4 linked regions of the Anolis sagrei genome follow. The protein of the gene in region 2 purifies or fractionates together with the protein of the main gene of each other region. This does not show direct contact. Links are inferred from orthologs where the notes say so. Each region holds a gene or a part of one and is shown on either strand. Other genes may lie near its edges. The genes, in order: TRPS1, CTBP1, AMPD2 and ZNF516.

Region 1 (7,555 bases), on a different chromosome or scaffold from region 2:
TGGAACATTTTGCTTAATGTTGCATAAAAGAAATACACCTAATCTTTTAAAATGCCAAAAATAGGATCTTGCGGGTCTCAAGTTCTATGAATGTTCTGCGTTCTTTTCCCCTCTTTTCCAATTTAATCTCTTCTCTTTTTCCTTCTTTATCTTTCTTCTACTACTTTTCAAACTGAAAATCAACCTTTCAGTACCTTAGAACGTATAAGGATCTGTGTCAAAGTCACAAAACCATGGAAGTTTTACTGGAAGAGGAGGTTCTTAGCAGGAAAAATATTTCTCCTACCCAATGAGCAATTTAGGCTGCAATCTGATACACAGTTCTCCAGGAGCTAAAACCCACTGAATGCAGTTACTACAGATAACCATGTTTAAAGAGCAAGCATGTACATCTTGTTGTGTTAGAAAACAGGCTTTGGTCCAAACATATCCTAGGTTTATTCATGAACAGCTCTAGATAGAAAACTGGCTGAGCTATTGATTCTCCCTTGAAACCTTGGAGAGATACTGATAGTTGAAGAAAGTAACGACTTTCCAATGGATCCTTGTAGATTACTCATGATATGAAATGCTTCTGATATCTAAGGCTCTCACATATTTCAAAGTAATTCAGGTTCACCATTCCTTAACTAAAATCCAAAATACACTGAACTCCAAAATTTTCACATAGGTGGTTTTCAGATAGTTCAGCATACATAAACTTCCTTTCTTGCACAAAGATATTAAAGTATTGTATTAATTACCTTCAGGCTATGTGTATAAGGTGTATCCAAAACATAAATGAATTTTACTTCTAGTCTTGGATCTCACTGTTCAAGATACCTCATTATGCACATTTAGGCAAATATGGTACAGACTGAGGCGCCTTCCACACTGCTGTACAAAATCCAGATTAGCTTCTTTGAAGTAGAATATATGGCAGTGTAGACTCAGATAATCCAGTTCAAAGCAGATAATGAGGGTTATCTACCTTGATATTCTGGATTATATGGAAGTGTAGAAAGGCCCTGTGTATCCTTTTTCTGAAGTACTTGGAACCAGAAGTGTTTGGGATTTTGGATTATTTCAGAGTTTGAAGATGAGTCCCAAGTCAACACAAAATTCATTTATCTTTCATATGCAGCTTAGACACAAAGCCTTAATAGTGTACAATATTTTTAATGATTTGTGCATGAAACAAAGTTTGTGCATACTGAATCACCAGAAAGCAAAGGTGTCATTGTCTCATTCATCTATGTGGACAATTTCTGGATGATTTTGTATAAAGATGCTCCTTCTGTATATCCATTTCATTGGCGGACCTCGTTTCTAAATGTGTGCCTTCATCTCTGAAGTAACATATGTACACTTCAGGCAAATATCTATCTTTTTTTGGCCTCCTTATTGGATATGAACAATTTTGGAATTCCAAATAAGGAATGCTCCGCCTATGCTTTTCTTTCAGCGACAGTCCTTGTTTCTAAATGCGTTTATCGATAAATTAGCATATGTAACTTCTAGGCAAACCTCTGTCTCTTTTGCCATCCTTATTGGATGTGAACAATCAGGGCCAGATCAAGACCTTTATAGGCGCTAAGTATTTTAAAGATTTTGGTGCCCTCATAAGCATCTAATTCAAAATATTAACAATAAAATAAATGCATAACATATTTTGGAGTAAACCATGACTTTGGTCCATATAAACAGTTGGGTTGGTTCCAAGACAAAACTGTTTACATGGACATCCTGTTTGGGGACAAGGAATGCTGTCACACCCCCCCCCCCCCCAAAAAAAAATTCTCATCATCGTGGTGGCCAATGGGTGCAAAATGGCTACTGTCTGTTGCTTGCGGCCTGGAATGATGTCAACTGGGACACCAGGGTGATCAGAGAAGCAGGAGGGAATGGAAGGGGCAATTCCTTCTTTCTCTCTCTCCTCTCCCACTTTCTTCTGATGCACCAGCTGATGAGGGATGGCCACTAGCCATGATCCACCCACTAGCCAGCACTACAATAACAGGATAGGTGTAGTCAGGACTTCTTTCTTTGTCTGCAGTGGTATAGGGTGGGTAGGTGGAGAAAGCTGCCGAAAGAACCCCACTCCAGGGCAATGTTGGAGTTCCCATTTTTGCTCTGTGTTTGATTTCACCGCTTTGAGTGTCTTTGAAAGAAAAAAGCAGTCTATAGTAGTAGTAGTAGTAGTAGTAGTAATAATAATAATTCTCTTTCTTTGCCAGCTGAAAGAGGGATTCTGTGCCTTATGAGTGGAGATGGGGTTAAGAGAATCCTACTCAGGGCAAGGCAATAGGATCAATCTCTCTCTCTGGTCTTTTCTACAAAACTATATAAAATCCAGATTATCTGCTTTGAACTGGATTATATAGCAGTGTAAAAAGGTAAAGGTAAAAGTTTCCCCTTGACATTAAGTCTAGTTGTGTCTGATTCTGGGGGATGGTGCTCATATCCATTTCTAAGCCGAAGAGTCGCCGTAGTTTGTAAACATCTCCTGGGTCATGTGGTCAGCATGACTGCATGGAGCGCCGTTAACTTCCCACAGAAGCGGTACCTATTGATCTACTCACATTTGCATGTTTTCAAACTTCTAGGTTGCCAGGACTGAGTTAACAGAGGGAGCTCACCCCACTCCTTGGATTTGAATCACTGACCTTTCACTCAGCAATTTAAGCAGCTCAGTGGTTTACCCCCCTACACCACCAGAGCCCCTGGATATAGCAGCACAGACTTCGTAGATTATCAGAACTGATAATGTGGATTATCTTTTTTGATAATCTGGATTATATGGCAGTGTAGAAGGGGCCTGTTTAAATTCCTCTCCTTCACTGCCCAACTCAAAGGAGAGGTTATGTATATTTTAAAGAATCCCACTCTAGGGCAAGGCTGTAGCTCCTTTTCCCCTTTTTCTCTGTGTTTTGGGTTCATCTCCTGTTTACAACTGAAATGGGAGTTGTGTGTGTTCATGTACATAGGGTCAGAAGAACCCCACCACAGGGCACCACTTTTGGTCTTTGCATTTAGTTCCACTGCTTTAAGATTGAGAGAAAAAAGTGGTATATAATAATAATTATTATTATTATTATAATTATTATTATTATTCTCTTTCTTTCCCCAGCTGAAAAGGTGGGTCTGTTTGTAGGTTGTGCACCTCTCTTTCTGTGCTTCTTAGGGCCACTCTCTTTTGGGTGACTCAAAGGGGGGCCTAAAAAGCCCCTTCTTCCTTCCCTTCCTTCCCTCTTTCTTTCCTTCTGTCCTTCACTTCCTTCATTCCATCCTTCCTTCTTCTCTCCCTGATTTTTTCCTTTCCTTCTTTCTTTGTCTTTTTCTTTCTTCCCTTCTTTATTTCCTGCCCTCTTTCTCTTTTTATTTCTTTCCTTCCTTTTTCCCTTCGGTCTATCTTTCCTTCCTTCTTCTCTTCGGTCTATCTTTCCTTCCTTCTTTCCTTTTCCCTTCCTTCCAAACTTCTTCCCTTTTCCTTTCCTTCTTCCTCCTTCACTCAATTCCTCCTTTCCTTCTGTCTTCCCTTCCTGTTTTCTATCTTCCCTTCCTTCTTTCCTTTTCCCTTCCTTCCATCCTTTCGTAACTTCTTCACTTTTCCCTTCCTCCTTCACCCCATTTGTCCTTCCCTTCCTTCTTCCCTTCCTGCTTTCTATCTTTTCTTCCTTCTTTTCATCCTTCTTTTGTAACTTCTTTACTTCTCCCTTCCTTCTTCCTCCTTCACTCCATTCCACCTTCCCTTCCTTCTTTACTTCTTCCTTCCGCCATTCCTTACTTCTTCCCTCACTTCCTCCCCCTTCTTTCCATCTTCCCTTCTTTCCTTCCTTCTTCCATTCCTTGCTCCCTTCTTCTCTTTCTTTTCCCTTCCTTCCTTCTTTACTTCTTCCCTTCCTTCCTTTACTTCTTATCTCTCCCTCCCTTCTTCCCTTTCTTTTTCCTTCCTTCTTTCTTTACTTCTTCCCTTCCTTTCCATCTTCCCTCTCTACCTTCTTCCCTCCCTCCATTCCTTCTCCTCCCCCCTTCTTTTCCTTCTTCCATTCTTTCTTTACTTCTTCCATCCCTCCCTTCTTTACTTCTTTCCTTTCTCCCTTCTTCCCTTTCTTTTTCCCTTCCTTCCTTCTTTACTTCCTTGCTCTCCCTCCCTTCTTCCCTTTCTTTTTCCCTTCCTTCCTTTACTTCTTCCCTCTCCCTCCCTTCTTCCCTTTCTTTTTCCTTCCTTCCCTTCCTTTACTTCTTCCCTCTCCCTCCCTTCTTCCCTTTTTTCCCCCTTCCTTACTTCTTCCCTCCCTTCTTTCCATCTTCCCTCTCTCCATTCCATCTTTTTCCTTCTTTACTTCTTCCTTTCCTCCCTTCCTTTCCTCCCTCTCTTCCTAGTTTCCTTCCTCCCTCCCTTCCTCTTTCGACCAGCGCGGCTTCTCCTCTCCTCTCCCCTGCCGGGCCGCCTGTGCGAGTGAGAGGCAACGAGGGAGATTGAAGCGGGAGGAGGAGGAGGAGGAGGAGGAAGCCGCGAAGGAGGCGGAGCCGCCGAGTGCCCGCCGGTGGAGGAGGCGGAGGGAGGCCGGGAGAAGGCCGTCCGCGGCGGCGGCAGCAGCAGCAGCAACAGCAGCAGCAACGGGGAGCGGGAGCGAGCGAGAGAGTAGCAGCCGGGGTTGCCTCTTTAAGGCTCTCCTCCGCCCGGGGTGGCGCTTCCCTCCCTCCTTTCCTCTCCCTCCTCCTCCTCCCTCTCTCTCTCTCCCCCTTTGATATTAATAGTGTTGGTGTCTTGAAACTGACGTCATGCAGTCGGAGACTGGAGGTCCTGACAAGCGATAACATTTCTGATAAAGAGCCTCCGCTGGCCATCTCCAAAAAAGAACAGAAAGAAAAAGAGAGAGAGAGAGAGAGAGAGAGAGAAATCTCCTCCTCCTCCTTTTTTTTTAAAGGGGAAGAGAAGAGAGAAGGGCTTGTTTGTTGCAAGAAGAAGCAGCAGCAGCAGCTACTCTGTTTCTTTTTCTTTTTCCTCCTCCTTTCCGCTTTATAAACACATTTTTCCCCTTCTTCTGCGCTTTTGGCGCGTTCCCTTCTTCTTTCCCCCCTTCCTCCTCCTCCTCCTCTTCTCTCTCTGTCCATCCGCAGAAGGAAGGGAGGGAGGGAGGGAGGAGGGTGGCTAAAAGCAAATCCCCCCCTTTTCCTCCTTCTCCTTCTCCCCTATTAACCCCTCTCTTTCTTCCCTCCCTCCTTCCCTCCCTCCTCCTTCCCTTGCTTTTCCTCCTCCTCCTTCCTTCCTTCCTTCCCTCCTTTCCCTCCCTCCTTCTCTCTCTCTCTCCCCCCCCCCCCCCGGGGTGCTTTCTTTTCCCACCTCTTTCCAAAATAATCCAAGCTCAACTCTCTTGCAAACAACAGAAAGACGGTTCATGGCTCAGGCGACAGTTCCACCATCTTTCCAGCGGCTGCGGTTATTATTATTGCTATTATTATTACTATTATTGCTGATCAATCAACAGGTAAGCAAGCAGGGTTTACAGGGAGTGGGAGGGGGCTGCAATTCAAAGGGAGGGGGGAAGAGAAATGGGGTTGTGATCCATGGAGAGGAGAGAGCTGTTGGTGGCTAGCACTTAACACCTTCCTGGCTTTTTGCTCTCTTGGATGTGTATTTTGGTATTATTATGTCCCCCCACTCCTCAAATAATATGTCTATCATCAGAAAGAAAGCAGTGTTTTGGTTTTGTGTATGTCTGTGCTGTGATTTAGGGATTTTTTGGATAAAAGAGGGGGGTTTGTGTGTTGCTTTGCAAAGAAGGCAAAGCAAAGAGCTCCAGTTTCCTAAAGGATGTGTTTTAATGGGTTCTTTAAAATATATATAAAATATAATACAATCTTATTCTCCTCTTCTTCCTCTTCCTTCTCCCCATTTTCCTCCAATCTGTGTTTTTATTTTATTTTGTAATGGGGTCAAAAACATGTGTTGATCTGCAGCACACACAAAATAATAATAATAATGGGAGACTTGGCGGAAAGAAAAAAACTTGCAGGAGGCCTTCTTTGGAGAGAGAGGAGTCAGCAGGGGTCAAGTTCAGCAGCCAAAGGGAAGCCCTTCCCCCTTGGACCCCCCCCCCTTTCCCCAATCCCTTCCCATCCTCCAAAACCAAGAAAAGACAACTTTGGAAGCTGCTGGTGTCTTTCCTGACTCTCCTCCCCTGAGTCCCCTCCTTTTTTTGTGGGTTAAGCTTTGATTTCACTCTCCTCTTTACAGGGGGAAAGTGTGTAAAAGAGGAAAGGGGGGGGGGCACTCTGCTTTTTTCCTCCCTATTGGGTTGCCTTTTTGTTTTGTTTTTTTGCATTGGTAAATATTGCATCCTTCACGTGGGATACCCCACATAATGTGGGATACCCCACTTAAGCCCTTCCCCCTTTTAATTTTGGTCAAACATCCTAGAGTTTTTGCACTTTTTCAGTTTTTTACCCATCCTTTGAAAAGAATGGGGACGGTGGCCAAAAGTCGGGGCTCGGATGGGAGATCATCATGAGAAAGTAGTAAGTTTCTTCCCCCTTCTTGTTGAAAGGAGACTTTGGGTAGTTTTCTGTGTAACTTCTAGAGAAAGGTGTTGAATATATCACTCTTTAGATCAGGGTGGGATTTTTCATCCTGGTCTCTTTTCTCCCCAAAATGTGACACTTTGGTTTGGCTGGCTTCTTTAGAAGGAGTTAGGAAGTTCTTCGAAAAGGCCAGGACCTTGTGCACAGGTTTGCAATAAGTTACTTTATTGAGCGTTCAGTGACTTTTCTCTCCCTCCCCCCATCTTTGTAAAAAACTTGCTTGGATTATGGATGCGTGTGACAGGTTTCTTCATCGTCCCCCCTCCATTAAGGAACTGAATAAATGAAGAGATGGAAACTTCCTAATTAAGAAGGGAAGAATGGATTGTACTTAATCGTAACTTGTGACTGATCCATAATGGTGGTTGGGAAGGAGTTGCTTTATTGAGCGTCCAGTGACTTTTCTCTCCCCCCCCCCCATCTTTGCAAAATACTTGCTTGGATTATGGATATGTGTGACAGGCTTTCTCCCCCCCCCCCCTTTAAGAAACTGAATGAATGAAGAGGTGGAAACTTCCTAATTCTTTAAGAATGGAAGATTGGATTGTACTTAATCGTAACTTGTGATCCATAATGGTGGTTGGGAAGGTTTTGCTATTATAAAAAATCAGCAAGGGGGGTGGGGGAGTTGTTGTTGTTATTATGGCTCCATGAGTCCTCCCCATCTCTGCCTTTGATCTTAAAGGAAAAGTTCATACAACTTTCTAGGACTGTGCTCTTGTAAATCAGGAGAAATTTCCCTCTAACTTCTTGATACTTTTTCAACAAGTTGTCTTGCTTGCGTTGCTAGTTGTGTCTACAATTTCTTCTACTAAAGAAGGTGCCATTCAAGAACTTTTAAGACTTTGTTAGATAAGGTTTCTTTTTCATTTTTAAAGAACTAACACCAACCAGAAGCTCATAAAGCCCCTTTCCCACCCACAAATGTCAAACTCAAATCACTGAGAGAGAGGAGAAAAAAAATCATAGGCCAAACAATGAAGTAAAT
Region 2 (7,349 bases):
TCAGAGGTTCAAATCTGGGGAGCAGGGTGGGCTCCCGTTATTAGCCTCAGCTTCTGCCAACCTAGCAGCTCGAAAATATGCAAGTGTGAGTAGGTACTGCTTTGGCAGGAAGGTAATGGCACTCCATGCAGTCATGCTGGCCACATCACCTTGGATGAGTACCACCCCACAGTCGGACTCAACTAGACTTAATGTTAAGGGGGGGGGGGGCTTTACTTATTGTATTTATATGTTTTAATAGTTTTATAATTTGATATGTTATATTTAGTATGTATAATGCAGCATTGAATTTTGCTATGATGTAAGCCACCCTGAGTCCTCTTTGAGGTGAGAAGAGCATGGTATAAATATAGTAAAGAAATAAATCCAATTCAAAGCAGATAATCTGAGATCAGGTTCTGGGATATAGATCAGTGTAGATCCAGCCTCGGGACCTCATCTACCCTGCCCTATAATGCAGTTTGAAACTGCACTATATGGTCTGTGTAGAGTCATATAATGCAGCCTGTCTACTTCATCACACTAGAGCAGGCATGGACAAACTTTGGCCCTCTGGGTGTCTTGGACTCCAGCTGTTAGGAATTTTGGGAGTTGGACGTCCAAAATACCTAGAGAGCTGAAGTTTGCCTGCACTAGAGAATGAATCCAGTTTGTGTCTCCTGCAGAATTCTGGGATTTGTAGTTTAGTGAGGCTGTTAAAGACTTGTCCCTAAACTACAAACCCCAGAATTCTGCAGGAGGCAGCAACCGGATTTAAAGTGGATTCATTCTCTAAGTGCAGTGTTTCTCAACCTTGGGGTCAGGATCCGGGGGGGGGGGGGGGTCAGATGGGTCACCAAAGACCATCAGAAAACATAGTATTTTCTGTTGGTCATGGGAGTTTTGTGTAGGAAGTTTGGCCCAATTCTATTGGTGGGGTTCAGAATACTCTTTGATTGTAGGTAAACTATAAATCCCAGTAACTACAACTTCAAAATGTCAAGGTCTATTTTCCCCAAACTCCACCAGTATTCACATTTGGGTATATTGAATATCCATGCCACGTTTGGTCCAGATCCACCTTTGTCTGAACCCACAGTACTCTTTGGATGTAGGTGAACTACAACTCCAAAACTCAAGGTCAATGTCCACCAAACCTTTCCAGTATCTGCTGTTGGTCATGGGAGTTCTGTGTGCCAAGTTTGGTTCAATTCCATCATTGCTGGAGTTCAGAATGCTCTTTGATGGTAGGTTTAACTATAAATCCTAGCAACTACAACCCCCAAATGACAAAATCAATCTCCCCCAACCCCACCAGTATTCAAATTTGGGCATATCGGGTATTTGTGCCAAATTTGGTCCAGTGAATGAAAATACATCACGCATATCAGATATTTACATTATGATTCATAACAGTTCCAGAATTATAGTTATGAAGTAGCAATTAAAACAATTTTATGGTTGGGAGTCACCACAACATGAGGGACTATATTAAGGGGTCACAGCATTAGGAAGGTTGAGAACCACTGCTCTAGTGTGAGGAGGTCCTAATAAGTGAGTTATAGGAGTCAACACTGGCCACGTAAAGTAGTTCTAAACTGCGTTATATGGTAGTCTAGATGGCCTCTCTGTTGATGGGTGGCTGTAAACAAAAGCGTGGTTGTGCCAGTGTGCCTTCCCAGAATAAGGAAAACTCTCAGCAATGTGCCCTCAAAATGCACTTTACCACTGATTTAGGAATGACTGCATTCCCTCAATTCTCTCTGAAAATCCTATCCCAGTTATATCCTACCTTGCTCACGTCAGAATTATTTTTTAATTTTAATCTATTACATTTGGCCCAACCATTGGATTTAAATGCTTGTATGTCACTGTTGATTGTTTATTGCCTATTTTTTGTTAATGTGATTTATATGAATTGTATTGTATTGATTGTTTGTTTATTGATGTTTTGTTTATTGATGTGCGGTGGGCTTGGCCTCATGTAAGCCGCACCGAGTCCCTTGGGGAGATGGTAGCGGGGTATAAATAAAGTATTACTATTATTATTTTATTAAAAGCCCTCTTGACCACAAGGCCCTTACATGGCTTCCTAAGAACAATGCCCACTCCAAGCCGGCATCGAAAGAGCAGCCCTGCGCTCCACGCTCCCTTGGTTGGATGGCCAAGAGGGAGAGACAGAAGATGGATCAAAAGGGAGGGCAGCGAGACAGCCAGGAAGTCAGGGAGCCCCCCAGAGGTGAGGAAGCGGGAGCTCGGCTTCTTCCTCCTCCTCCTCCATCTTGGCACAAACGGCCCCCTGGAGGAAAGGAGGGAGGGAAGGGGCGGCTCGAAACCGGGCCCAGGCGGTGCCAGGAAGGAAGGGAAGGAGGAAGGACAAAAGGGGACGACATCAAACTTTCCCGAGCGAGGCAAGAGGCGCCAGGCCTTGGACCCTCCCAGCGGCGCCCAATAACCATATTCAGCCTTTGGGGGCGCAACCGGAAACCGGCCTCCAGCGAGCCCCCTCCCCAAAGGGCTGTGTTCACGGGGAAAGGCCCCAGCGGAGAGCGAGGCCAGGCCGAAGCAGAGCCCCCCCTCCCCCAATGTCCTCCCTGCGGCCTACTCCTCAGCTTCTGAGGGGAAGCAGGAGGGGACACAATGCCTCACAAAGCGCGAGGGGCCTTCTCCTCCTCCTTCCCCCACCCCTCCCTTCCCTCCGTGCGCGAGGCGGGAGAAACAGGCACAGCAAACCCGAGGCAGCGGCGGCGCCTTACCGAGCGGCAGGCCCTTGTTGAGCAAGTGGGAGCTGCCCATCGAGAGGCCTCTCAGGGGCAGGGCTCCAGCGGGGTCTGCTCGGGCGCGATTCGGAGCATATGGCGGCCCCGGCGGCTCCCTCGCCCCCTTCTTTCCTTTCCTTTGCCTTCCCTCCCCGCCCGGCCCCTCCCTCCGAGCCCTCGCACTGAGGCTCCGCGATCAGGGAGGGAGGGGGGAGCAGGAGGAGGAGGAGGCGCGCGCAGGCAGGGGCGGGGCCGGGCTGGGCTCGCGCTTGCTCTCTTGTCTGCTGGCCGGATGTGGAGCCGGAGAGGAGGGAGGGAGGGAAGGAAAGGGAAGCTGGCGTGCGCGCGGGAGGAAGGGGAAGAGGAGGAGGAGGCGTGGCCTCCGCCCCGCCCCTTTTCGGAGGCAGAAGGACCCCACCTCTGGAGGGAGGGAGGGAAGGAGGGCCGCCTCCCCGCCTGATTCATTGCCCCGACGAGATGGGACCCTCCTCCAAACACGGTTTTCATTCACGGTTCATCTTCACCGTAGACGGCCTGAATTTTTTTAAAAAAAAACAATATTTACAATAACTTTGTGCAGATAGCAAATATCAGATAGCAAAGGTGCCCCTGCCTCAGCCTTGTCGGCGTTTATATAAGTAGCCTGCAGACTGACTTTACCCTTGTAATAACTCTATATAAATAAAAATGTCATGTTTGTTTGTGGGATTAACAGAACGCAAAAACCACTGGACGAATTGACACTAAATTTGGACACAATACACCTATTAGGCCAACGACACAACAACAGAGAGGAAACAAACAAGGACATCTAATCACCTCTCAACAAAAGATTCCCCCAGGCACTGCCAGGCCATCAAATGCTAATCAAGGTGATCAGTTGAAACATTCACACCTAGCTCCAGCAGACAAAAGTCCTTTGTCCCACCCCGGTCATTCCACAGATATATAAACCCATTTTCCTACTTCCAACAGACCTCACTACCTCTGAGAATGCTTGCCATAGATGCAGGCGAAATGTCAGGAGAAACTGCCTCTAGAACATGGCCATATAGCCCGGAAAACCTACAACAACCGAGCATTACATTTTTATTTATATAGTTACTACAAGGGTAAAGTCAGCCTGCGGGCTACTTATGTAAATGCTGACAAGGCTGAGGCAGGGACACCTTTGCAATGCTTCTGGAACATGGCCATATAGCCCGGAAAACCTACAACAACCCAGTGATTCCAGCCATGAAAGCCTTCGACAATACAAATGTAATGTTCGTTTGTGGGATTAACAGAACTCAAAAACCACTAGATGAATTGACACTAAATTTGGACACAATACACCTATTAGACCAACGAGTGACCATCACTCATAAAAACACTGAAAAACACAGCAGAAGAGACTTTAAAAGCCAAAAACAATAATTACATAACGCATGCGCAAAACCACATATATATACACAAACATACACATATACACACATATATGCACACACACAAAACACATATACACAGACTGGGCCACAGCAGTGCGTGACAGGGGACAGTTAGTCTATATTAATAAAAATCTATATAAATAAAAATGTGTTAATTTGTGGGATTAACATAACTCAAAACCCACTGGACAAATTGACACAAAATTTGGACACAAGACACCCCTCATGCCAACAAGTGACCATCACCCATAAAAACACAAAAAAACACAGTGGATGAGACTTAAAAAGCAAAAAAAACACACACACACACATTACAACGCATGCGCAAAAGCACATATATACACAAACACACATATATACACAAATATAAACACACACATATACAAATATATATACACACAAACATATACACAGACTAGGCCACAGCAAAGCGTGGCAGGGGACAGCTAGTATATTAATAAAAATGTAATGTTAGTTTGTGGGATTAACATAAGCCAAAAACCACTGGACGAATTGACACCAAATTTGGACACAATACACCCATCAGGCCAACAAGTGACCATCACTCATAAAAACACTGAAAAACACATTGGGACTTAAAAAGCCAAAAAAGCAAAAAGATGCTACAGAGCATGCACAAAAACGACTCCCCCGGCAAAAATACCCACACAATAGCAATTCCACACTCTCTTTCGGACTATTGCTCCCAGCATCCCCTAGACCAGGCCTTTTAAGAGAGGGGGATGATCCAAATGCAGTGTTTCCAAGCTGCAAGCTTTCTTCTTAGATTTTTTAAAGAGCATCCCAATCCCTGCATACTTGCAATTTCCTATTCTTGGACTGCAACTCCCAGCAATCCTCCAGATAGGTAAGGTAGATAGATGGATGGATGGATCAGGAGGACTGCTAGGAGGTGCAGTCCAAGAGTAAGTAGAGAAGGAAGAAAGGGGAGAAAGAATGGGAAAGAAAAGGTGGGGGAAGGAAGGGAAGAAGAGAAGAGAAGAGAAGAGAAGAGAAGAGAAGAGAAGAGAAGAGAAGAGAAGGAAGGAAGGAGAGAAAGGAAGGAAGGAAGGAAGGAAGGAAGGAAGGAAGGAGAGATGTAAGATTGGCCACAGTAACGCATGGTGGGTACAGCTAGTGTGTAATTCATAAAAGAAAAACACATGAGTCTTCAGCTTTAAGTAGAAAAGAAACGAAGTTGTATTCACAGCATACAAAACAAAATAGAAGAATTGCTCTCACCAAAAACATAACATAAAACAATATCTTCGGTGAGTTCTCTTCATTCCGCGTTGATATGCAGTCTCCCTTAGTCAGTTGTCCGTAGAGTGACCTTGACTTGCTGCCTTATTTTCAGCTCTGGACGCTTGCAGTAACTTCTCTCGGCATCAAACAAACAAAGGTTTTTCAACTCAAACCGAGCCCCAAGCAAAGCATACAAACACAATGCTCAAACACGTAGAACACAATACTCCAACACAAAGAATGCAAAACTCCAACACGGATAATGCAAAACTCAAATACAATGCAATACTTAAAGTACAAACACACATGAGATAACAATACACTTAATTATCCCAATAATTAACTGTGTCAGCTGTAACAGAAACAGCTCTGATCCTTTCCAAAACTTAAGAAAAGTACGTTGCAAACCTTTAGTAGCAACAAGCCCCCCCACCAGAGTAGACAATTTTGGAATCTGGAGTAGTTCTGGTCTTTGGAATTCCAATCTGTATGCACATTGGGACACTCGCAGGAACACCTCATCAAGCGAGTCCAAAAGTGGCAGGCTAAAACCCAGAACCTGAATTAATGGTTGATACCAAATGAGAGACTCCCTCCTGGGCACACACAAAACTGGGCGACTTGGAAGGTGCTGAGCAGACTGTGCTCTGGCACCACGAGATGCAGAGCCAACCTTAAGAAATGGGGCTACAACAGTGTTTCGCAACCTGGGGGTCGGAACCCTGGGTGGGTCGCAAGGGGGTGTCAGAGGGGTCACCAAAGGCCATCAGAAACCACAGTATTTTATGTTGACCGTGGGGGTATTGTGTGAGAAGTTTGGTGAGGTTCAGAATGCTCTTTGATCGTAGGTGAACTATAAATCCCAGTAACTACAACTTCAAAATGTCAAGGTCTATTTCCCCCAAATTCCACCAGTGATCACATTTGGGCATATTGAGTATTCGTGTCAAGTTTGGTCCAGATCCATCATTGTTTGAGTCCATTGTACTCTCTGGATATAGGTGAACTATAACTCCCAAACTCAAGATCAATGCCCACCAAATCCTTCCAGTATTTTCTGTTGGTCATGGGAGTTCTGTGTGCCAAGTTTTGTTCAATTCTGTCATTGGGGGAGTTCAAAATGCTCTTTGATTGTAGGTGAACTATAAATCCCAGCAACTACAACTCCCAAATGACAAAATCAACCCCCCCCCCCCCAAACCCCACCAGTTTTCAGATATGGGCATATTGAGTATTTGTGCCGTATTTGGTCCAGTGAATGAAAATAAATATCAGATATTTACATTATGATTCATAACAGTAGCAAAATGATAGTTATGAAGTAGCAACAAAAATAATGTTATGGTTGGAGGTCATCACAACGCGAGGAACTGTATTAAGGGGTCACGGCATTAGGAAGGTTGGGAAACACTGGGCTACAAAGTGGAATCCACGACATGCCAGTTGGAGAAGAGCAAACCATAGACCACCTATTACAATGCAGCCTGAGCCCAGCCACATGCACAATGGAGGACCTTCTTGCAGCAACACCAGAGGCATTCCAAATGGCCAGCTAGAATGCCAAGTTTGCAAACTTTGTGGTTTTTTTTAATGCAATACAACTGTTTGGTTCGCTCCTGACACGATAAATAAATTGGGTTGCTATGAGTTTTCTGGGCTGTATGGCCATGTTCCAGAAGCATTCTCTCCTGACATTTCGCCCACGTCTATGGCAGGCATTCTCAGAGGCTGAGGGGAAACTGGGCAAGTGAGGTTTATATATCTGTGGAATGTCCAGGATGTAAAACCCATCTTTACATTGAAAAATCTTCAACATGTCTTGCAAAATAAACACATAGCCATTAGACTAGTCATTCTCAACCTGTGGGTCCCCAGATGTTTTGGCCTCCAACTCCCAGAAATCCTAACAGCTGGTAAACTGGCTGGAATTTATGGGAGT
Region 3 (7,024 bases), on a different chromosome or scaffold from region 2:
TGTAGAATGAATGCAGTTTGACACCACTTTAACTTCCATGGCTCAGTGCTGTGAAATCGTGGTTGTTGTACTTTTACAAGGCCTTTAGCCTTCTTTGCCAAAGAATGCTGGAGCCTTACCAAGATACAAATCCCCTTGATTCCATATCACAAAACCATGACAATTAAAATGGTGTCAGACTGAATTCATTCTACTGCTTAGATGCAGGTGGATTGAAGGTGGTTCATAAGTGCGGTGTCCAAATTACACTTGTCCTGGTTAGAGGCAGGAGTAAGCAGTTCTGACCCCATTATTTAGGAGGTGTATCTGACTATACAATTATAGCCACCAATAGCTCTATTTTAAGGTCTCGTGGGATGTACAGTTCAATGAAGTACTTCAGATTCTCCCTTGGAGATAATTCATTCTCTCTATCATCTTTCAGGTATTTTGGACTTCAGCTCCCAGAATCCTTGAACATTTCCCAGGTGTCCTGGGCTGAAATTTTAAAGATCTGGAGGAACCACTGTCTGGTTCACTCCTTTGAACTCCACGGCCTCTTCCACACAGCTGAATAACATGATCTTCCCACATTATCTGCTTTGAACTGGAATATATAGTAATGTGGACTCCGATAACTCAGTTCAAAGCATATATTGTGGGGTTTTCTACCTTGATTTATTTATTGATATTGACAAGCTGGAATGTGTCCAGAGGAGGGCGACTAAAATGATCAAGGGTCTGGAGAACAAGCCCTATGAGGAGCGGCTTGGGGAACTGGGCATGTTTAGCCTGAAGAAGAGAAGGCTGAGAGGAGATATGATAGCCATGTATAAATATGTGAGAGGAAGCCACAGGGAGGAGGGAGCAAGCTTGTTTTCTGCTTCCTTGGAGACTAGGACGCGGAACAATGGCTTCAAACTACAAGAGAGGAGATTCCATCTGAACATTAGGAAGAACTTCCTGACTGTGAGAGCCGTTCAGCAGTGGAACTCTCTGCCCCGGAGTGTGGTGGAGGCTCCCTCTTTGGAAGCTTTTAAGCAGAGGCTGGATGGCCATCTGTCAGGGGTGATTTGAATGCAATATTCCTGCTTCTTGGCAGGGGGTTGGACTGGATGGCCCATGAGGTCTCTTCCAACTCTTTGATTCTATGATTCTATGATTTATTTATTTATTTATTTGCTTTACTTCTATACTGCCTTTCTCCGCCGAAATGGCGACTCAAGGTGGTTTACACAGTAAAGATCATCACAACAATATCAAAAAGACAATTAAAAGCAAATTATACAAATTACACCAAAACAAACAATCATTATCATAGGCCTCAGCAAACAAATCAGAATCAGAATCCGTAATCATAATCCTTTACCAAATCCTATGTTCAGTTGTACCATCTTCGTGTATTCATTGCAGTATTTAGCCAAATGCTTGTTCGTAAAGCCAAGTCTTGACCTTCCTCCGGAATGCCAGCAATGAAGGGGCCTGTCTGATGTCCACAGGTAGGGCGTTCCACAGCCGAGGGGCCACCACCGAGAAGGCCCTGTCCCTCGTCCCCGCCAACCGCGCCTGCGATGTAGGCGGGACCGAGAGCAGGGCCTCCCCAGACGATCTTAATGTCCTAGTCGGTTCATAGGAGGAGATGCGTTCGGAGAGGTAAGTATTGATATTCTGGGTTATATGGCTGTGTGGAAGGGCCCCACACCCCAGATTCCTTAACATGGTTTCAGATCACATGGTTATACAAAGTAGTGAGAAACTGATGTAACAATGTAATGCGGATACTTCTCCAGTGATGTGTGTATGTGTCATTAAGATACTGTCAACTTATAACAATCCCATTAATTTCATAAGGTTTTCCAAAAGGGACTACTCAGAAATGGTTTGCCAGTTCCTTCCTTTGAAATAGAGCCTACTGAACTTGGCATTCATTGTTGGGTTTCCATCCAAGTACTAACCAGAGCTGTTCCTGCTTAGCATCCAAGATCAGATGGGATCTGGTACCTTTAGGGCAGTGGTTCTCAACCTTTTTTCACCAGGGACAACTTGACCACTCTCCAACATTAGTACCAAAAGGGCTACAAATCAGTTTTTGGTAAACTTTAGATTTGGCTTGGTTATTTGGGATGCTGATTCAGAAAATTGCATTGGATAGACCACATCAGCTCTAGTTTCTGACACAAAACATAGGCCATCCAGTAGTTGCCATCTGCTCTCCCACAGAAAGCCATATTTAATAAGCTTCAGCACTATAAGAAGTTTCGCAAGACCAGTCACTCTCTTTGCAATGGTAGTAACAGTGAAGCTGTGGACCATATTTTAGTTCTTGCAGACCACTTGTGGTCCACGGATCACAAGTTGGGACCCACTGCTTTAGGGCATTAGGCTCTTCCTCAAGTGGGCTGCCCTCCAAAGCCAAAGGAAGTGCCACAATATGTTTTTGAGGCACCTCACCACTGGAGAAGCAATGCAGTCTGCCACCATCTTTACTGCTACGGTTCAGTGCTGTAGAATCCTGGGAGGTGTAGTTTGGCGGGACACCAGCACTCTTTAGCAAAGAGGGCTGAAGACCTTGTAAAACTGTAAGTCCCATAATTATATAGCATTGAGTCTTGATAGTTAGAGTGGTGTCAAACTGCATTTCTTCTGCAGGGTAAATGTATCCTATGCAGACACCATAGCACTGGCTTTTGTGGCCTTTCAAATATTTTGGGGTGGCAGCTCCCATCACTCCTGGCCACTAGGTAGGCAGGGTAGAGTAATGCTTTTCAAAATAGTCACCAGGGAGTCATGATCTGCCAACACATTGCATGGGTGGATGATGATGATGAGGTGCCCTACAATACTTGGAGAGACTCTGTTGCTGGCCCAGCTTTGAGGTTGCAGCTTGGCCTTCTCCTGAAAATGCCAGCCCGGGCTTCAGAAGCCTGGAGTCCCTTTGGCAAAGAGGACTCAAGCTTGCTTTCAGGATGGCTTGAACCTGGGATATTCAACAGGTGTACTTGCTTTTTAAGGCAGAGAATACCAACTGGGAGTGAGAGCAGCCTCCCCATCATGTTGTTTTTTTTAGACTAATTATTTTATTCAGAACCAAAGAAAGCATTATAATCAAACTGTCCTTGCAATGCTTGCATAGAAGTGGGAGGGCATCAGCAATGAAGGCAGAAGTTTCCAAACTGTCGTGACACGCCAATGTGTCGGCTGCAGTGTGTTGGTGCGGCACACAACTGTAACGTGAAACCTGAGTCTATAGCAGGCCTGGCCAAACTTTGGCCCTCCCAATGTTTTGGACTTCAACTCCCACCATTCCTAACAGCCCCAGGCCCCTTCCCTTTCCCCCTCAGCCTCCATCTCCCTGAAGGGACTTAGGGCGGCTTATAAGGGATGTGCCCAGCAAATACAGATTAAAAACAAACACAGAAATGCAGTCAACATTTAAAAACAATATACCCTGGTTAAAGCCTTGTGTCGGCAGGACTGAAGACTGACAAGTCGGAGGTACAAATCTGGGGAGAACGTGGATGAGCTCCCTCTGTCAGCTCCAGCTCTCCATGCGGGAACATGGGAGAAGTCCCCCACAAGGATGATAAAACATCAAAACATCCTCTGGGCAATGTCCTCGCAGACAACCAATTCTCTCACACCAGAAGCAACTTGAAGTTTCTCAAAGTCGTTCTTGACACACACACACACAAAAGGTCTGGAGTTGCATCTACATTGCAGACTTAATACAGTTTGACACTACTTTAGCTGTCAGGGCTCAGTGCTAAAGAGTCGTGGGGGTTGTTGCTGTACAAAGCTTTCTCTACCCAGGAGTGCTGGTGCCTCACTCAATTAAAAACCCCAGGCATCAAGCCAGGGCATTTTAAAGCGGTGTCAGACCGCGCTCATTGTGCAGTGTAGATGCAGAGGGTTGCTAAAGGACCCACGCAGCTCGTGCCCGTGAGGAATGCAGCTGGAGGAGGAGGGGGCTGGGCTTCAGGCCTCCTCTTTGCTTCTCCCTCCCATCCGCTGCGTCTTGAGGCGGAGGAAGTCAAGAGAGATCCAACGCCGGAGCTCCTCCTGCGCCCATCGCCGGCTCGCTTCCTCCCCGCCTGTCCATCATCCCTAGAGGAGGCGGGGCTTAGCGGAGGCCCCGCCCCTTCGCCCAGTGTCCGGAGCCTGCCTTTGAGGGGCTTCTCTTGGAAGCATTGGGAGGGAGCAAGATGTCGTCTGGAGCGGCGCCCCCGAAGAGCGGCTCTCCTTTAAGAAAGCGGGCCAGCCTTCAAGCCGTCGTGGGAGGAGGAGGAGGCGGAGGAGGTGAGCGTGGGAAGATGGCATTTCCTCCCCCAGCCCTCTTTTCCCAAGCTAGGGGGGGGTTCTCTTCATGATAAAGCACCCCAATTCCTCCCCCCTCCCTTCTTCTGCATTTCCCTGCTGTGTTTCCTTCTTCCATAGGCTAATGGCTGCTCCTTGGGTTGGTTGGATGCTTGGCTGAGCAGACTTGGGTGCATCTGTACTGTAGAATTAATGCAGTTTGACACCGCTTTGCAGCCATGGCTCAAGGCAGTGCAATCAACTGTAGCTTGACAAGATCTGTAGCCTTCTCTACCAAAGAGGGCTGGTGCATCACCAAATTTCCAGAATCCAGTAGAATTGAGCCATGGCATTGAAGTGACCAACTTCACTGTTTCTGTAGAACAGACCTGGGTGCTTTGTACTTCAACTCCCACCATTCCTAGCAGCCTCAGGCCCTTTCCTTTTCCCTTGATGCACCTTCCTCTTGGCATGCTTCTCCCTTTCGCCCTCCATTTGTGCCGCTTCGAATTCTGCAGCACTGCTGGTCACAGCTGACCTCCAGTTAGAGTTCTCAAGAGCCAGGGCTTCCCCGTACTCAGTGTCTATATCACAGCTTTTAAGGTTGGCTTTCAGCCCATCTTTAATTTTTTTTCCCCCTGTCCACCAACATTCAAGAGAATGCAGCCACCTGTGGCACAGTGGGATGATAATAATAATAATTTTATTTTTATTCCTCACCTCCATCTCTCCAAAGGGACTTAGGGCGTTTACAAGGGACGTTCCCAGCAAATACAGATTAAAAACAAACACAGAAGTGCAATCAACATTTAAAAACAATAAACCCTTGTTAAAGCCTTGTGCTGGCAGGACTGAAGACTGACAAGTCCAGACATTTTGGACTTCCAACTCCCACCATTCCTAACAGCCTCAGGCCCTTTCCTTTTCCCCTTCAGCTGCTTAAGTGGCCTGAGGCTGTTGGGAATGGTGGGAGTTGAAGTCCAAACATCTGGAGGGCCCAAGTTTGCCCATCTTGATATAGAATGATATAAAACCCTTCAATTCTTAATCTTATCCATCTGTGACGTAGATTGCACAGCCCAAGCAGAAATCTTATTTCTTGGTGTCTTGGTTTTTAGGCACGTTCCTAGGGTTATTTGAACCACTGATTCGGAAAATAGCGTCAGATAAACCACATCGGCCATAGTTTCTTAGATAAGGTTGTTGTGATTTTCTATGGGTGATCAGATGGCAACTGGTATATGGCGTATGTTCTTCATCTCACAAACTCGAGCTGATAGGGGAAGACTGGTGCCGTTTTTGGAACCGTCAGATGAAACATACCCAGAAATGAGTTTTATTTGTGTGTCGGCCAGTGATGTAATTCAGAAAGATGCACATTGCGACCTTTGTCTTCAAGGTGTGATGGGATACAGGTCTTTCACATCTTTACAAGGGTCTTTTAGGATTCATGTATAAAAACAAAGCATGTTCAGAGGTGGGTCCCTCTGTGAATGTGCAGTAAAATCCCTAAAGGCACTTATAGAATCATAGAGTTGGAAGATACCTCATGGGCCATCCAGTCCAATTCCCTGATCATGTCTGGCTCCTGGTCCTGACCTTTAATGCTCTATATAGGAGCCCCCAGTGGTGCAGTGGGTTAAACCCCTGTGCCGGCAGGACTGAAGACTGACAGGTCACAGGTTCGAATCCAGGGAGGGTGCGGATGAGCTCCCTCTATCAGCTCCAGCTCCTCATGTGGGGACATGAGAGAAGCCTCCCACAAGGGTGATAAAACATCAAAACATCCAGGCATCCCCTGGGTGATGTCCTTGCAGATTGCCAATTCTCTCACACCAGAAGCGACTTGCAGTTTCTCAAGTTGCTCCTGACATGACAAAAAATATGTTCTATATGCCAGAGGCTTAAATCCCCTACAGCAGTGGTTCCCAACCAGTGGTCCACATGAACTAAAATATGGTCTGTGGCCTCACTATTACTACACTGTTGCAATAAGGGTGACTGGTCTCGCGAAACCCTCTTATAGTGCCAAGGCTAATTAAATATGGTTTTCTGTGGGCGAGCAGATGGCAACTACTGGGTGGCCTATGTTCTGTATCAGAAACTCGAGCTGATGTGGTCTATCCAATGTAATTTTCTGAATTAGCACCCCAAATAACCAAACCGAATCTAAAGTTGACCAAAAACAGATTCGTAATCCTTTTGGTACTAATGTTGGAGAGTGGTCAAAGTGGTCCCTGGTCATATGGCCCCCTTGGTCAAATGGTCTTTGGTCAAAAAAAGGTTGGGGATCTCTGCCCTAAAGCCACCGGCTCTTGTCTGATCTTGGAAGTTAAGCAGTGTCCGTTCTGCTTAGTACTTGGATGGAAGGCCATGTACAGGTCCTGCAAACTGTTTCAGAGGACTGAACTGGCGGAACCATCTCTGGTTATGTCTTGCCTAAGAATACTCTATGGATTTTATGGGGTCACCATAAGTTAATAATAAGAAGAAGAAAAAGAAGAAGAAGAATCTTTTCTTTATATCCCACCACCATTTCCCAGAGGAACTCGGGGCGGCTCACAAAACACTCAAGGTATGACATGCAAAATGCAACAAGTGCAAAACAAAACATATGACTAGACAATAAACAATCAACACAACATCATAAATTCACAGTACCCCCTTGTAAAAACAATGAAATATAGTCATTGCTGTGGATAAAACAGCAGTATTCGATTTCAGAAATATAACATGCTAATAAAGAATCTAA
Region 4 (7,370 bases), on a different chromosome or scaffold from region 2:
AATAATAGAGTAAAATAATAACTAACCTTGACTCAAGTGAAAGCTGAGGGGGACTTTTTCAGCCTAAAAAAAGGGCTGAAAAACTAGGCTTATACTCAAGTATATTCAGTAGTTTCCAGTTGCTTGAGAATATTGTTTCTGGCTGCTATTAAAAATAGGCCTAACTACTACTTTAACCTATATTATACCATACCATAAACTATGTATTGACTTGATCTAAATATTGAAACAAAGCAATAAAAGCAAATAAAAACAAAGAAAGACAAGCATATCTTAATGTAACAGTTTTACTGTATTATAAAAGTAGTTTTGTAAATGCATTATTATATATTGATTTTTTTTTGCTAGTTGCTTGACAGTTTCGGTTACTTGAGTTCTGGTTAGCTGAGAATCTACTGCTTGGAATATTCCACACAGGAATTCATTAAGAGATCTCTTTCATTATTGTCCATTTTATTTTCAGGAGAACAATGGCAACTTAATAGCACATACATGACGGAGCCCACATTAAATAACTGTAATTGAATTTTACTGAATTTTAATTTTTTACACTCATGATACAAATATATGGTTCTTTTGAATTTTTAAATTCATGTCTATGTATTTGCCTTGTTTTAAAATTCTTTTGTATTGTGTCATGTCATTCTCAGCCATCTTGAGTGGAGAGAAAGGTGGGATACTACTTCCCAATAATAATATTTAAAAATTAAATAACTGCATCTGTCTAGAGGTTAGACACATACTCTTGTCAGTGAACGTATAGCATAGTTTTCCTATGGGGAGAAATATGAGATAAAACAAAGTAAATCATAATTATAAAGCATCTCCCTCTATGAACCAACTCGGAGGTTAATATCGTCTGACGAGGTCCTCCTCTCGGTCCCACCTTTTTCACAGGCACAACTGGTGGGGATGAGGGACAAGGCCTTCTCAGTGGTTGCCCCTTGATTATGGAACCCCCCTCCCCAGCGAAATCAGGTCATCTTCCACCCCCCTACCTTCAGAAAGCATGAAACAACGTGGCCTTGGGACCAAGCCTTTGGTCAATAGTGAAGTGCAGTAAGTGATTATGGAAAATGTGCTAAGACAATTGGAATGGCTTTTTGACTATGATCTCAGATTGCGTAGTTTTAATAATGTGTTTTAATCTTTATATGATTTTAAAAGTGGCTTCCAGATGGTGCAGTGGGTTAAACTGCTGATCTTGCTGACCAAAAGGTTGGCGGTTTGAATCCGGGGAGCAGGATGAGCTCCCACAGTTAGTCCCAGCTTCTGCCAACCTAGCAGTTTGAAAACATGCAAATGTGAGTAGATCAATAGGTAATGCCACTCCATGCAGTCATGATGGCCACATGACCTTGGAGGCATCTACAGACAATGCCGGCTCTACAGCTTAGAAATGGAGATGAGCACCACCCCCCAGAGTCAGACACGACTAGACTGAATGTCACAGGAAATCATTTACCTTTACTTTTATGATTTTAAACTCATGTTTCAATGGATATGTTTATTTTATGTCTGTTGTGTACCTGGCATCAAATTGTTGCCTTTGTAAGGCCACTCTGAGTCCCTGTCAGGGCTGAGAAGGGCAGGGTATAAATACTGTAAATAAATACAAAAATAAAATATTTATAATAATAATAATATGTAAAAATAGAACAGAAGCTAAACGTGTACTTTTTTCAGTATGTGTACATGTAAACATATAGGATAATTTTGCTATGAGAAGAAAGATGGGATAAAAAGAAAATAAATAATTATAATAAGCAACATTATTTAAAAATAGAACAGAGGCTAAACACATACTTTTGTCAGTGTGTGTACATGTGAACATATAGGATTGTTTCCATATGGGAAGAAAGATGAGATAAAAATAAAGTAAATAATAATAATAATAATAATATTTTATTTAAATATAGAACAGAGGCTAAATGTGTACTTTTCTCAGCGTGCGTACATGTAAACATATAGGAAAGTTTCCCTATGAGAAGAAAGATGGGATAAAAATAAAGTAAATAATAATAATAATAGTAGTAGTAGTAATTACTATTTTATTCAAAAATCGGTTAAACCCTTTTTTTGTCAGTGTATGTACATGTGAACATATAGGATAGTCTCCCTATGGGAAGAAAGATGGGAGAAAAATAAATAATTATAATCGTAATAATTTTATTTAAAAATAGAACAGAGGCTAAATGCATACTTTTCTCAGTGTGCCTACATGTGAACATATAGGATGGTTTCCCTATGGGAAGAAAAATGGGATAAAATAATAATAATAATAATAATAATAAATTTTAAAATAGGTCAAACGCTTACTTTTCTCAGTGTGTGTACATGTGAACATATGGGATGGTTTCCCTATTTGGAGAAAAATTGGTTAAAATAAAGTAAATAATAATAATAATAATAATAATAATAATTGTTGTTGTTTATTCGTTCAATCGCTTCCGAATCTTCATGGCCTCATGTACCAGCCCACGCCAGAACTATATAATAATAATTTTATTTAAAACCAGAACAGAGGCTAAACACGTACTTATTTAAGAATAGGTTAAATCCTTCCTTTTGTACATATTAGTTTCTCTATGGGAAGAAAGTTGGGATAATAATAATGATAATAATAATAATAATTTTATTAAAAATTAGTTAAATGCTTACTTTTGTCACTGTGTGTACATGTGAACATATAGGATAGTTTCTCTATGGGAAGAAAGATGGGATAAAAATAAATAATTATAATAAGCAATAATATTATTTAAAAATTGAACAGAGACTAAACACATACTTTTATCAGTGTGTGTACATGTGAACATATAGGATAGTTTCCCTATGGGAAGGAAGATGGGATAAAAATAAAGAAAAAAATTATTTAAAAATAGAAGAGGCTAAACACAAACTTTTCTCAGTCTGTCTACATGTGAACATATAGGATAGTTTCCCTATGGGAAGAAAGTTGGGTAAAAAAAATCATATTTATTTAAAAACAGAACACATACTTTTATTACTGTCTGTACATGTGAGCATATAGGGTAGCTCCCCTATGAGAAGAAAGTTGGGTAAAAATAAATTATTATTATTATTATTAATAATAATAATAATAATAATAATAATTTAAAATAGAACACATAGTTTTATTACTGTCTGTACATGTGAACATATAAGATTGCTTCCCTATAGGAAGAAAGTTAGGTAAAATAAATAATAATAATAATAATAATAATAATAATAATAATAATTTAAAAATAGAACACACACTTTTATTACTGTCTGTACATGTGAACATATAGGATAGCTTCCCTATGAGAAGAAAATTGGGTAAAACTAAATAATAATAATAATAATAATAATAATAATAATAATAATAATTTAAAAATAGAACACATAGTTTTATTATGTGAACATATAGGATAGCTTCCCTATGGGAAGAAAATTGGGTAAAAATAAATAATAATAATAATTTTATTTATTTATTTATTTGTCGTGTCAGAGCAACCAGTCCATTATACTACATTTCTAACAGAACAAAGCAAACAGACAGAAAAATACACAACTTGTGAGAAGCGACCAGCATAATAATAATAATAATTATTATTATTATTTAAAAATAGAACACATACTCATTATATGTGAACACAGAACCTCATTACCTCTGAGGATGCTTGCCATAGATGCAGGCGAAACGTCAGGAGAAAAATTGCCTCCAGAACATGGCCATATAGCCCGGAAAAACCTACAACAACCCAGAACACATACTTCTGTTATGTGAACATATAGGATAGCTTCCCTATGGGAAGAAAATTGGGTAAAAATAAATAATAATAATAATAATTATTATTATTATTATTTAAAAATAGAACACATACTTTTGTTATGTGACCATATAGAATAGTTTCCCTATAGGAAGAAAATTGGGTAAATTATTATTATTATTATTTAAAAATAGAACACATACTTTTATTATGTGAACATAGCTTCCCTATGGGAAGAAAGTTGGGTAAAAATACATGATGATGATGATGATGATTGTCCCTAAAGCCAGAAGGCATACTTTTGTGCCGGCGTGCCCATGTGCCCCTCGAGGCCGGTTTCCCCTTCCTGCTGTTCCCTTGACTCCTTTGGGCAGAAGCGCTGCCCTGCTAATGAATCCTCCCCATTAGGGGAACAATTGCCGAGACGGGACTCATTTGGGGGCCACCGAGCCTCTCCCCGCCTTAGACAAGAACTTTGTGCTGATGAGACAATAGTAGACAGTGTGTGCATTTCAGAGAGGAGAGACCATTCCGCCGCCGGGGGGGGGGAGAGGGGAGACCTCCCCTTGTACATTGAAAGAGGGGCGGGCAAAAGGGGCCGAAGGAGAGCCTCCAGGTCGGGCTGGAAAGGCGCCGGGAAAGTTGGGGTTAGCGGGGAGTGCAGGTTTGCGGGGAGGCGGAGAGTTCTCCCCAAGCGCCCCCCCCTCCCTGCTGGGCCGAGTGGAGCCGCCGCCGTGCATCATGTGCCGCTCTTTCCTGATTGCAGGCAGCGCGTGGTTTCACCTTCAGGTTCTGCTGTGGACGCGTCCTTCTCTTTAAGCCATCACCTCAACCGCCTGAAGGTAAGGGGCATTTGGAAGAAACCATTTCTTCCCGGGGGGAGGAGAGAGAGAGAGGGATGTTGCTCTTCGGCCATTGGGGAGGGGAGGGGGAGAGAAATATGCCCAATGCGCCCGTGGGGGAAAACTTTCCAATTAATAGTTCATCCCGCTCCCTAATTGGAGGGAGCTTTCCAAGGATCACTACTTGGGGGGGGGGGGGGGGGGGTTGAAACAGTTCCTAAATCAATAGATCCTGGTGTGTAAAGAGTGGGGAAGGATACGTTGTATATGGATTTATTATATAGAGTCTCTTTTGTATCTTTGGTCAAAAGGAAAACGGGGGGGGGGGGGGGGAGATCAGGAATATAACATAACTCCCACCCATTAAGGATGGGTTGGGTTGGAATGGAAAGCAGAGAAACCCAATTGGGAAAATTAATTAAATAAATAAAAATAATTAAAAATTTCCATTAAGGATGGGTTGGAATGGAAAGCAGAGGGACCCAATTGGGAACATTAAAAATATGTTTTGTTTTGTTTTTTTTAAAAAAATAAAATTAAAATTAAAAAAATTAAAAAAGGGACCTAATTAGGACCAAAATAGTTGTTTCCAGGAGGAAAAAAGGGAATCTTTATAGAGGGCATGAGGAGAGAGAGAAGGAAGGAGGAGGAGGTGGGGAAAGGAAATAATGCAGACATTTTGACCTATGGAACCCTCCTCCTCCTCCTCCCCCTCTGGCCCCTCCCATCTCCACCCCAAATTAGCATAAGAGTGGCAAGCAATCCTTTGAATGCAGTGGTTGCGACAAGTTGGAAGAAACTTTGAAAGCAGTGGCAACTCTTCTTCATCACTAGAGAAGAAATCCACTTCAAATCCGAGTTTCTGCCTCCTGCAGGATTATGGGCTTTGTAGTTTAGAAGAAAATCATAGAGTTGGAAAAGACCTCATGGGCCATCCAGTCCAACCCCCTGCCAAGAAGCAGGAAAATTCAAAGCACTCCTGACAGATGGCCATCCAGCCTCTGTGTAAAAGCTTCTAAAGAAAGAGCCTCCACCACACCCTGGGGCATAGAGTTCCACTGCTGAACAGCTCTCACAGTCAGGAAGTTCTTCCTAATGTTCAGGTGGAGTCTCCTTTCTTGTAGTTTAAAGCCATTGTTCCACGTCCTAGACTACAGGGCAGCAGAAAACAAGCTTGGTAATAGTATGAAAGCTGGGCCCCGAAGCTCTCAGCATTACGCTGTTTCCACTTCACTCCTTCGGGAGCGCTGTTTGTGCAACGCAGAACAGAACACAGATATTATAGAAGGAATATAAGAGTTCTTATAAAACCCTATAAAACTACAACTCCCAGGATCCCATAGCACCCTTGGACGGAGAAAGGTGAAAGAAACCCTATGAAACTATGACTCCCAGCATTCCATAGCTCTCTTTGGCAGAGAAGGCTGAACCCCCCCCCCATAAAACTACAACTCCCGCCATTCCATAACACTCTTTGGCGGAGAAAGGTAAAAAAATCAATGAAACGACAACTCCCAGGATCCCATAGCACCCTTTGGCAGTGAAAAAAACTCTATAAAACTATGACTTCCAGCATTCCATAGCTCTTCAATGGAGAAGGGTGAAAAAAAAACCCCATGAAACTACAACTCCCAGGACCCCATAGCACTCTTTGGCAGAGAAGGGCAAAAACCCTATAAAATACAACTCCCAGGATCCCATAGCACTCTTTAGCAGAGATGTGTGAAAAACGGTATCAAACTACAATTCCCAGGATCCCATAGCACTGTGGCAGAGAAAAACCCGTATTAAAACTACAACTCCCAGGATCCCATAGCACTCTTTTGCAGAGAAGCATAATAAAACCCACCTAGGTAAAGGTAAAGGTAGTCCCCTGACATTAAGTCCAGTCATGTCTGACTCTGGGGTGTGGTGCTCATCTCCATTTCTAAGCCGAAGAGCCAGCGTTGTCCGTAGACACCTCCAAGGTCATGTGGCCGGCATGACTGCATGGAGCGCCGTTACCTTCCTGCCGGAGCAGCACCTATTGATCTACTCACATTTGCATGTTTTCGAACTGCTAGGTTGGCAGAAGCTAGGGCTGACAGCGGAAGCTCATGCCGCTCCCCGGAATCGAACCTGCGACCTTTCGATCAACAAGCTCAGCAGCTCAGTGCTTTAACCCACTGCGCCACCGGGGGCTCATAAAAAAAAACCCACCTATAAAACTACAATTCCCAGGATCCCATAGCACTCTTTGGCAAAGAAGCGTCAAAAAATCCACCTATAAAACCACAACTCCCAGGATTTCATGGCACTCTGGCACAGAAGGGCAAAAACCCTATAAAACTACAACTCCCAGGATTCCATAGTACTCTTTGGTGGAGAAGGGTATAAAAAACAAAAGCTGCAACTCCCAGAATTCCATAACACCTTTTGGCAGAAAACGGTGAAAAAACCCTATAAAACTGCAACTCCCAGGATGCCATAGCCTTTAGCCATGGCAGTATAAGGGTTGTCAAACTGCAGTAGCCCTATAGTGCAGATGCATCCATATTTATCACAAAGTCTTTAGCCTTTTCTACCCAAGACTGCTGGTGCTGCCCCAAGCTACAACTTCCAGGATTCAAAAGCATTGAACTATGGCAGTCCGAGTGGTATCAAACTACATTAATCTAACAGTTTAGAGGCATCCTTGTTATTTTTGCATGACTTTGAGGGCGATGTATGTGCTTCATGGTGTCACCTGTGGCACTGGGAATGCAAATAAAAGCCGATGGGAAGCCAGGCGGAACAA

What was found.
Region 1: the proteins of CTBP1 (region 2) and TRPS1 purify together in Homo sapiens (affinity purification with mass spectrometry; 3 studies listed by BioGRID and IntAct, counting the BioPlex papers as one, with this or other methods). This does not show direct contact. The link is inferred for Anolis sagrei from reciprocal best matches to the Homo sapiens genes CTBP1 and TRPS1.
Region 3: the proteins of CTBP1 (region 2) and AMPD2 purify together in Homo sapiens (affinity purification with mass spectrometry; 3 studies listed by BioGRID and IntAct, with this or other methods). This does not show direct contact. The link is inferred for Anolis sagrei from reciprocal best matches to the Homo sapiens genes CTBP1 and AMPD2.
Region 4: the proteins of CTBP1 (region 2) and ZNF516 purify together in Homo sapiens (co-immunoprecipitation; 4 studies listed by BioGRID and IntAct, counting the BioPlex papers as one, with this or other methods). This does not show direct contact. The link is inferred for Anolis sagrei from reciprocal best matches to the Homo sapiens genes CTBP1 and ZNF516.

The regions. Positions count from the first base shown.
Region 1 is NC_090024.1:23,857,700-23,865,254, forward strand, and holds the start of TRPS1 (zinc finger transcription factor Trps1), read left to right. Parts: upstream 1-4,533; 5' UTR 4,534-5,474; intron 5,475-6,281; exon of another isoform or gene 6,282-6,504; intron 6,505-7,555. UniProt on the Homo sapiens protein: Transcriptional repressor. Binds specifically to GATA sequences and represses expression of GATA-regulated genes at selected sites and stages in vertebrate development. Regulates chondrocyte proliferation and differentiation.
Region 2 is NC_090023.1:143,542,163-143,549,511, reverse strand, and holds the start of CTBP1 (C-terminal-binding protein 1), read right to left. Parts: upstream 3,011-7,349; 5' UTR 2,776-3,010; coding exon 2,736-2,775; intron 1-2,735. UniProt on the Homo sapiens protein: Corepressor targeting diverse transcription regulators such as GLIS2 or BCL6. Has dehydrogenase activity. Involved in controlling the equilibrium between tubular and stacked structures in the Golgi complex.
Region 3 is NC_090024.1:184,411,420-184,418,443, reverse strand, and holds the start of AMPD2 (AMP deaminase 2), read left to right. Parts: upstream 1-4,021; 5' UTR 4,022-4,181; coding exon 4,182-4,275; intron 4,276-7,024. UniProt on the Homo sapiens protein: AMP deaminase plays a critical role in energy metabolism. Catalyzes the deamination of AMP to IMP and plays an important role in the purine nucleotide cycle.
Region 4 is NC_090024.1:74,193,065-74,200,434, reverse strand, and holds the start of ZNF516 (zinc finger protein 516), read left to right. Parts: upstream 1-4,348; 5' UTR 4,349-4,594; intron 4,595-7,370. UniProt on the Homo sapiens protein: Transcriptional regulator that binds to the promoter and activates the transcription of genes promoting brown adipose tissue (BAT) differentiation.